2 linked regions of the Tribolium castaneum genome follow. The protein of the gene in region 1 purifies or fractionates together with the protein of each later gene. This does not show direct contact. Links are inferred from orthologs where the notes say so. Each region holds a gene or a part of one and is shown on either strand. Other genes may lie near its edges.

What was found.
Region 2: the proteins of U3 small nucleolar ribonucleoprotein protein IMP3 (region 1) and U3 small nucleolar RNA-associated protein 25 homolog purify together in Homo sapiens (affinity purification with mass spectrometry; 3 studies listed by BioGRID and IntAct, with this or other methods). This does not show direct contact. The link is inferred for Tribolium castaneum from reciprocal best matches to the Homo sapiens genes IMP3 and UTP25.

What each region holds. Positions count from the first base shown.
Region 1 is NC_087400.1:10,480,781-10,483,849, reverse strand, and holds U3 small nucleolar ribonucleoprotein protein IMP3, read right to left. Parts: upstream 1,744-3,069; 5' UTR 1,676-1,743; coding exon 1,539-1,675; intron 1,494-1,538; coding exon 1,386-1,493; intron 1,339-1,385; coding exon 1,235-1,338; intron 1,189-1,234; coding exon 1,013-1,188; intron 963-1,012; coding exon 942-962; 3' UTR 629-941; downstream 1-628. Other genes in the region: serine/threonine-protein kinase GL21140, read left to right, coding at 2,206-2,532, 2,582-2,806. UniProt on the Homo sapiens protein: Component of the 60-80S U3 small nucleolar ribonucleoprotein (U3 snoRNP). Required for the early cleavages during pre-18S ribosomal RNA processing. Part of the small subunit (SSU) processome, first precursor of the small eukaryotic ribosomal subunit.
Region 2 is NC_087396.1:10,586,547-10,590,812, forward strand, and holds U3 small nucleolar RNA-associated protein 25 homolog, read right to left. Parts: upstream 2,867-4,266; 5' UTR 2,723-2,866; coding exon 1,688-2,722; intron 1,639-1,687; coding exon 1,396-1,638; intron 1,348-1,395; coding exon 721-1,347; intron 634-720; coding exon 457-633; intron 407-456; coding exon 239-406; 3' UTR 177-238; downstream 1-176. UniProt on the Homo sapiens protein: Component of the ribosomal small subunit processome for the biogenesis of ribosomes, functions in pre-ribosomal RNA (pre-rRNA) processing. Essential for embryonic development in part through the regulation of p53 pathway.

The sequences.
Region 1 (3,069 bases):
GGTATTAGAGCTTATTCCAAATCTGATGGCGAACTGACATTGTTAAAAATGACTGAATTTTGGCAATAAACACATGTTTGCTATTGAAAAAAAAATTGCCCATAGGCGTAATAAAATGATTTTCAAATCCACTGATAGTCTTAAAAAAAATATAATGAGATCCGTAAGATGAAGAATAATGATCAGATTATTAACAGTAATAGTAATTTTTTTATGTATCTTCGTTCTCAAAATTTATTAATGTTAAAATAACAACTGGGTAAATTTTAGTGAAAAAAATGCACGTCTATGTATTTCATTATCTTAACCAAGTGAGTGCAAGAGACTTTTATGTCACTGACAGTTCGCCACCAGATTTGGAACCACCTCTATACAAGGACTTGGTGTGTATACTATGGAGTGTTGACAAATCATTTAGTAAAATTACCGTTGGAGACGCCACTCAGCTAGGTCAAAAAAGTAACCATAAATGGCGGAAAAAGCGCTTATTTGGATATTTTGTGTGTTGTACAAATTTTGAGGCTTCACAAGTATTGCATAGCGTATGCGGAATAACTAGTGTTATCTTTGGTGCAGGAAACGAATGTTGACAAATTAGAGATGACGAGAAAAACACGAATAACGAATGTTTGTTTCACTTTCTTTGTTGAATTATTATTAGAAAGACATTGAAAAGTCTACCTTTTGGAACAACTTCTGCTTAAATGTATCAACAGTTGGTAATCATCTTAATTGTAGTTTTCAAGATTTAGAATTGGGTTTTGTTTATTTTTGATACACTCATGTATGGCATAATGATTTACAATTCCTGTATGTTTTGGAAAAACAATAAAAATTTATAAGGACTTGGTGTTTCGTTTTACCAAACCAACTGAGTAACCAAATTTAAATTTAGTTGACAGTGTTGCCACCTACACTTAAAATTAATAAGGAAAATGTTATCACAACACGAAATCATCTCTCTGGAAAAAAAATGGTAAAAACCACGTTCTACATTATTTAAAAAATTTACCATTCCGTTATATTCAAGCACATGTTGTTTAATCTTGGAATTATCGACCCACGTTACAAAATCTTCCAAAGTCCTAGTTACAAGTAATGCTGGGTCTTTGACCAACTCGGGCCCAACCCTGACATGCCCCTGTTCAATTAATTTAGTAGCCCCCTTAATATTTTCAGCCATTTTATCTAGAAATTAATTTGGGGCAAAATTCTAACAATAACAACGACTTACTTCTAACCATTACAACGGCCAGTCGCCGCCGACAAAAGCACGAAGCTGTCACTTTCTCGGCCAGACTTAAGTCCCACCTTGTCGGTATTAACCCCATTAAATACCTAAAAATAAAAAACATAACCTCACTTTTGACAACGTTCCAACTTACAGTTTTTCCAACAATTGGGCACTTTTCTCAGTCCGGAAGGGGTCCTTAGCGTCCACTTCTTTAATTTTGCGGGCCAGTTCTCTAATATTACGGGCCAATTTGTTGTAACTACAAAATAAAATAAAACAAATGTCAAAACCGACCTAACCTCACTTTGTATAATCCTCGCGTTTCTGAATGTGGTACTTTTTGAGCACTCGCACTTCGTGCAAATTATTGTCGACTTCCCACGATATGAAGTCAACTTTTTTCAGGAGTTTTTGTTCGTGAAATTTTAATTTCCGGACCATTTTTGAAAATTGTGATCAGTCAAGGTGACACTCATGTGTGCCAACTCCGCCGGCCAAAATATTTAATTTGTTGATTAATTGTTGACTCACGCGGGCTATTTTTAATCAGTTTGTTAAACAATCTGTGATTGTGGCCGTGTCCAACGTGTGATAAGGTCCGGTTTGTGAAATTACGTTTCGTTTAATTTAGCTGTGATTTTCGTGGGGTTGGCTGCCATGCGTAACAAGCATCCCTCCCACTTGCCGAAAAGAGGTTATTACCTTTTTAACCGTAAAAACAGTTAGTTTAGCACAAAATCTAATTTTTTCATAATGAGATTATAGTTTGATTGTGTTGTGTGTGAAGTGTACCTTGAAAATCGCTAAAGAGTGGTTTGGGGATCTGTGGAGTTGATGTTTGGTGTAGTTTCGGTGACAGCTGGCAAATAGGCGGTACCAGTTTGTAGTTTTGGTTAAAAACAGCCCCATTGATTAAACACCAACGATGTTACGATGATTTCACGCCCCTTGTGACGATCCCACTTGGCAAAATGTCGAAGAACAACATCAGCGGCTCCCGAAGCGTCTCCTCGACCAGTTGTAACAGCATACAGTCCGACTTTGAAATCATCGATAACGGCATTGAAGAGCTAAATTTGAGTAAAAGCAGGCCCTCGTCGACGTCGCGGACGCAGAAAGCGAAAAGAATCCGATTTTACCATAACGGGAATAAGTTTTTTAACGGAGTTGTCATACCAGTGGCCCCCGAACGGTACAGGTCTTTTGACAGTCTGACGACCGAACTGACGAACATTCTGACTAAGAATGTTACTCTCCCCAGCGGTGTGCGCAACATCTACTCAATGGAAGGCAAAAAAGTATTAACCGATCAGATATCAAGACACCATAAATAATTTTTTCGCCCAGGTTTGTAGTTTGGACGATTTAGAGGACGGTAAGGAGTACGTCTGTAGTGGGAAAGGCGAGATGTTCAAACGAATCGAATACACGAAAACCGACACTTTGCGATCAAAAAAACTGTCCAATACGAAATTTAATAACTCACTTACACACACTCCAAGAATTATACCTCCAGATTGTGTTCGGCCTCGTATAGTCACCATTATTAGAAACGGGATTAAGCCCCGAAAGGTACGAAAATCAAGCTCGGAAAAGACAGCAAGTAACTGTATAAAATTACTAGTTCAATAACCAGTTCATTCGTTATATAATTAAAATAATAAAGGACACAAACGCTAAACGAACTCAAAATGTTAAAAAAATACAAGCTTTTTTGCATTTACTACAATTAATGCTGCGAAAAATTAACTAAAAAAATTAGAGAAAAACATCAAACTCTCGAGAAAGAGCACCATAGTTGGGCATAATCAGATTACAATGTAATTACGTTGTAT
Region 2 (4,266 bases), on another chromosome or scaffold:
TGCAGCATTTGGCAGAAAGTTGCATATTTTCTTTAATTTTGGCGATTTTCTGTTACTTATTGCAGTTGCATATTTTCTTTAATTTTGGCGATTTTCTGTTACTTATTGCAGAAAATATATTTGGGTTTTTCGTAAAAATCAAGCCGCAAGCCTCTTTGTGAAAAAAAACAACAGAATTTTGTTAATTTTTTATTAACATAAAAAATACAATCACATTTAGATCTTTAATTTCTGTCTTTTAATCAGCACCGGTGACCATCATGTGGACATTTCTCTCCGACTGTAACATTTTTGTGGCCCTTTCTGTCCCAACAATTGCCGCTAACCGGTGAACATCATATTTCGAATAAATTACATTTACCGTCATATTTGATAAACTTCCGATTTTTTTATTCATGTTGGCTTCCTAAAACAAAATAATCAAACCCCTCTTAAAATTAAACCATCAATAATTACCTGCATTAGATTACACATTTCATAATAAAAATGCGGAAAAGTTGGCGGTTGATAAAAAACTAAATGGCGTATACCTTTAACTCTGACGCGATTAAAAAAATGAAATCGCTCAGTATACAATAAAAAATGAGTGTCTCCGTGATAAAACATGTCTCGGGCTCGTGCTACTTTACCGTCCTAAAACAATATGAAAAGACAGTAGCAGACGACAGTCATTTAAGCAAGAGTTTGATTTTTTTTGCTGTCTTAAAGACGAAAAATTACCTTGGAATATTCGCAAATTTGCCCAAAACTGAGCTCCTCCTTCTTAAAATAATTCCTCAAACGCACAAAATCGAAATAACTCGGCACATAAATCATCGTCTGTTTCATCAAACTGTCCCTCTGCAGAGGTAAGAGTTTATTGATAAAAAACTCAAACCGGGCCTCAATTGCGGCCTGTGCATTCGGGGCCTCAAATTTATGAAATACGTGCGGTATCTGAACAACGACTTGTCCAATCGACCCCAACTCGACTGGATTCGAGATTTTGACTTTCCCAGCGAAATTGTTACATTTCTTATTAAAAATTGAGTTAATCTCGGGCAAAACAATCGACGAAAATATCAAAGTCTGTCGGTAATATTGCGCCCATCCGTTCAAACTCCAGGTCCGAACTCGCGAAAAATCAGTCCCATGTGAGTCTTTCGGCTGCAAGTGGAGATGATTTATAACGTGAATAAAGTGGTCCCAGTTTTGCATCGAAAATAATTCGGTTTGGTCCAGAATTAGAAGTTCTATGGAGGCGAGAAAATCGTAGTCACGTTGGGGTTCGCCTTCAGCGCCGATTATTGTCCGGAGCCCCAAAGGCGAAGCTATGATAATATCGGAGGAGTAAAAGTCAGCGAACAGCTAAAATGATTTGTGTGTTAAGTGATTCCCCTAAAATGCGGTGCCAACCTTCAGGCTCTTTTTTGTAACAGTAATGCCAATCTTAAAATCGTCGCTTGTGTTTCCGGTGAAAGTCAGTTCGTAGTCTTCGGGTTTGGGGTTCTTTTTGGGCATCGGAATTTCATTGCCTGTGTACTCCTCCAGAAATCTTTTTTTGTTCATTACGTGACCTTTATCTTCAGGCAGGAGTATGTTTATTATCATTTGGATGATTTTAAAAGCCGAGTCTTTGAAGGGAACAACCATAAGAATCTATATATTTTTTTGAGTAAAGAATAAAACATAAAAAAATAAGACTTACCTTGGGCCTAACTAATCCCTGGTCTCTAAAATCCTCAGGAACGTCGTCCTTTTTTGATAAACGTACATTGTGGTGAACAACTTTTAACCGTGTTTTTAAAATGTGATTTACGGCATGAAGGCAATAAACAAATCTGATTTCCTCAGCATTATTAAAGTTTCTTTGGGTAAAATACAAATCTTGATAATTGTTAATTATCGAAAACAATTCAGACTGAAAATCAGTAAATACTGTATCATCCTCTTTTAGTGAATCATTGGCCTTAGATAAATTATCTATAATTTGTGATTTAATGAACAAATTATCCGGTTTTTTGAGGTCTGAGGTGTTCATTTTTTTAGGTACTGAACCCGGTGGTGCAAATTTTTTCTTTTCTTCTATTGTAAACGAATTTTTCTCTTCCTTTAATTCTTCAAATTGTGGTATTTGAACTAACAGGCGCCCTAAACTTGGCCAGTTTAAAACAGAATCGTTGACCAATACTGGAGAGGATTGTAATGACTTTAAAACACTTTCATGCAGTTCATAACAAACATGTTTTACAAAGGGATCATTCAAGTTATCACTATCCTCATTTTGCGCGCTATCAACTGCCACCTCATCCTCATCTTCTTCCGAATCTGGGGTGTCTTCATTTTTTGTTAATGTTTCCTCGTCCGTGTCTTCATTTTCCTCAAGAATGTCCTCAGGAGAGTTTTCATCTTCTTCGTCTGAACTTTCGTCGCTACTTGATATCGCAAGTGATTGTTTATGTTGCAGTTTTGAACCAAAAGTAGACATTAACTCCTTCATCGGATCAATTTCCTCCTCACTTTCTGAAGACTCTTGCTCGGGCTGAGCTTCTTTTTCAACTTTTTGCCGTTTCTCGTAATTTTCTTCACTAGCCTCAAACTTACGCTTCTTAGTGGGCTTTTTAGTGTCTTGACGATACAAGCTGTAAGTCTTTCTCGGTTTGGTTTTCTTTTTATCAAACTTTTTCGATTTTTTTGACCGGCCTCCAACCACGTCTCGGTACTTTACCTTACCTCTGGCCATACCGTTTTTGTGAAAAAATAACGCAATACACTAGTCTTCTATAAAAAATTGTAGATAGGCCTCTTTTAACGTTTTTTATTTTTGAGAAAGGTTATAATAAAAGTGAGGTTAATACGTCAACGTGAAACTTGACAACCAATGTCGCCAATGTAAGAAATGATCAATATATGATTTTTGCAATAACAATAATTAGCACGTGAAGTAGTAAATGATCAATGTGTTTTTGTACTTGTAATGTTTATTTGAAAAGTTTTGAAAGCATTTATTTGTCTACTTATTGGGGAAAAACAGAAATAAAGATTTCCCCAAGTGTTTGCCGCTCCCCAACATAGATGTCACTGGATGTATAATTTTTGCATTTATTCAAATCAGAAAAATGTCGAAGTAGAAGATGCTCGAAAATGCAAATTCTTGTCCCGGATTTCCCCGAATAAGTTGAGAGAATGATAATTTTTCTTTCTTGTAGTGAAATAACTTCAATTATTGGTAAATAGTCAATAATTAAAGACTTGTGGCTTTAGTCGTTTATATTAAAACATAAAAATATAAAACAAGAAATGAGGTAATATGTATATATACCGATTTATTTTTTAACACTAACATATTACATGATATCACATGTTACTTGCACACAATCAAGTGTTGTACGTAATTATTATTGACGTCACGTCGATGTGGGACGAAGTACAAGTACTTTTACTTAAACCTAAAGGCCTAAATTTCCAGGAGAATTGCGCAGAATTAATAAATACAATTTGTCGTTGTCTTAATAATAAATAAAAATTTGGTATTAAATAAGGCACAATTTGTCCAGAAAATTCAGGCGTCGAAACAACATGTTTCAAAAAATCTTTTATTGCAATCTTATCAAAATATTTAAATTTCTGTGCACATATAATTTCTTTTAGAATAAAAAACACAGCTATTTTTCATAAAACTGTATAATATTGATTGCCTCACGGTTCAATTTTACTATTTTACAGAGGTGGAATAAAATTGCAATTTCAACAACTTAAGTTATCGTACCACAACAATTTCTTATTTCAATACTTTAAATATTTAACGATATTTAATTGTGCCCTTGTATTGTTATTTGTTACAAACTAATTTTCTCATTTAATTCACTGATGTTAATACAACACCTTTTAAATAAATAAATATCACCACAAAATTTGTACCATTCACCACTGTGCTCCATTAAATTATCGGTCGTCTTACTGTTTTATGTAATCTCATTTTTATAGTCGAGCGTTTTTATTGAAAGAAAAATATATTACTCTATGGTCGTAAGGAACAGGATTTAAAAGAGCACAGCGTGAATGCGGAGTAAAAAAATACAAAAATTGAAAATGAAGTGTCATGGCAAGAAACTGAAAAGCGTCTTTTTCACCAATTGATATTGGTGGAAAAGAGGCCAAGAAGAGAATTAACTAGCTATTAAATAACATGGTGTACACCTACAAACATCTCATTGTAGCCATCATCAAAGAAGTTTTGGGACGGTTTGAACAAGTATTTTAAGTTATCAACTTTATTCTTAAGCT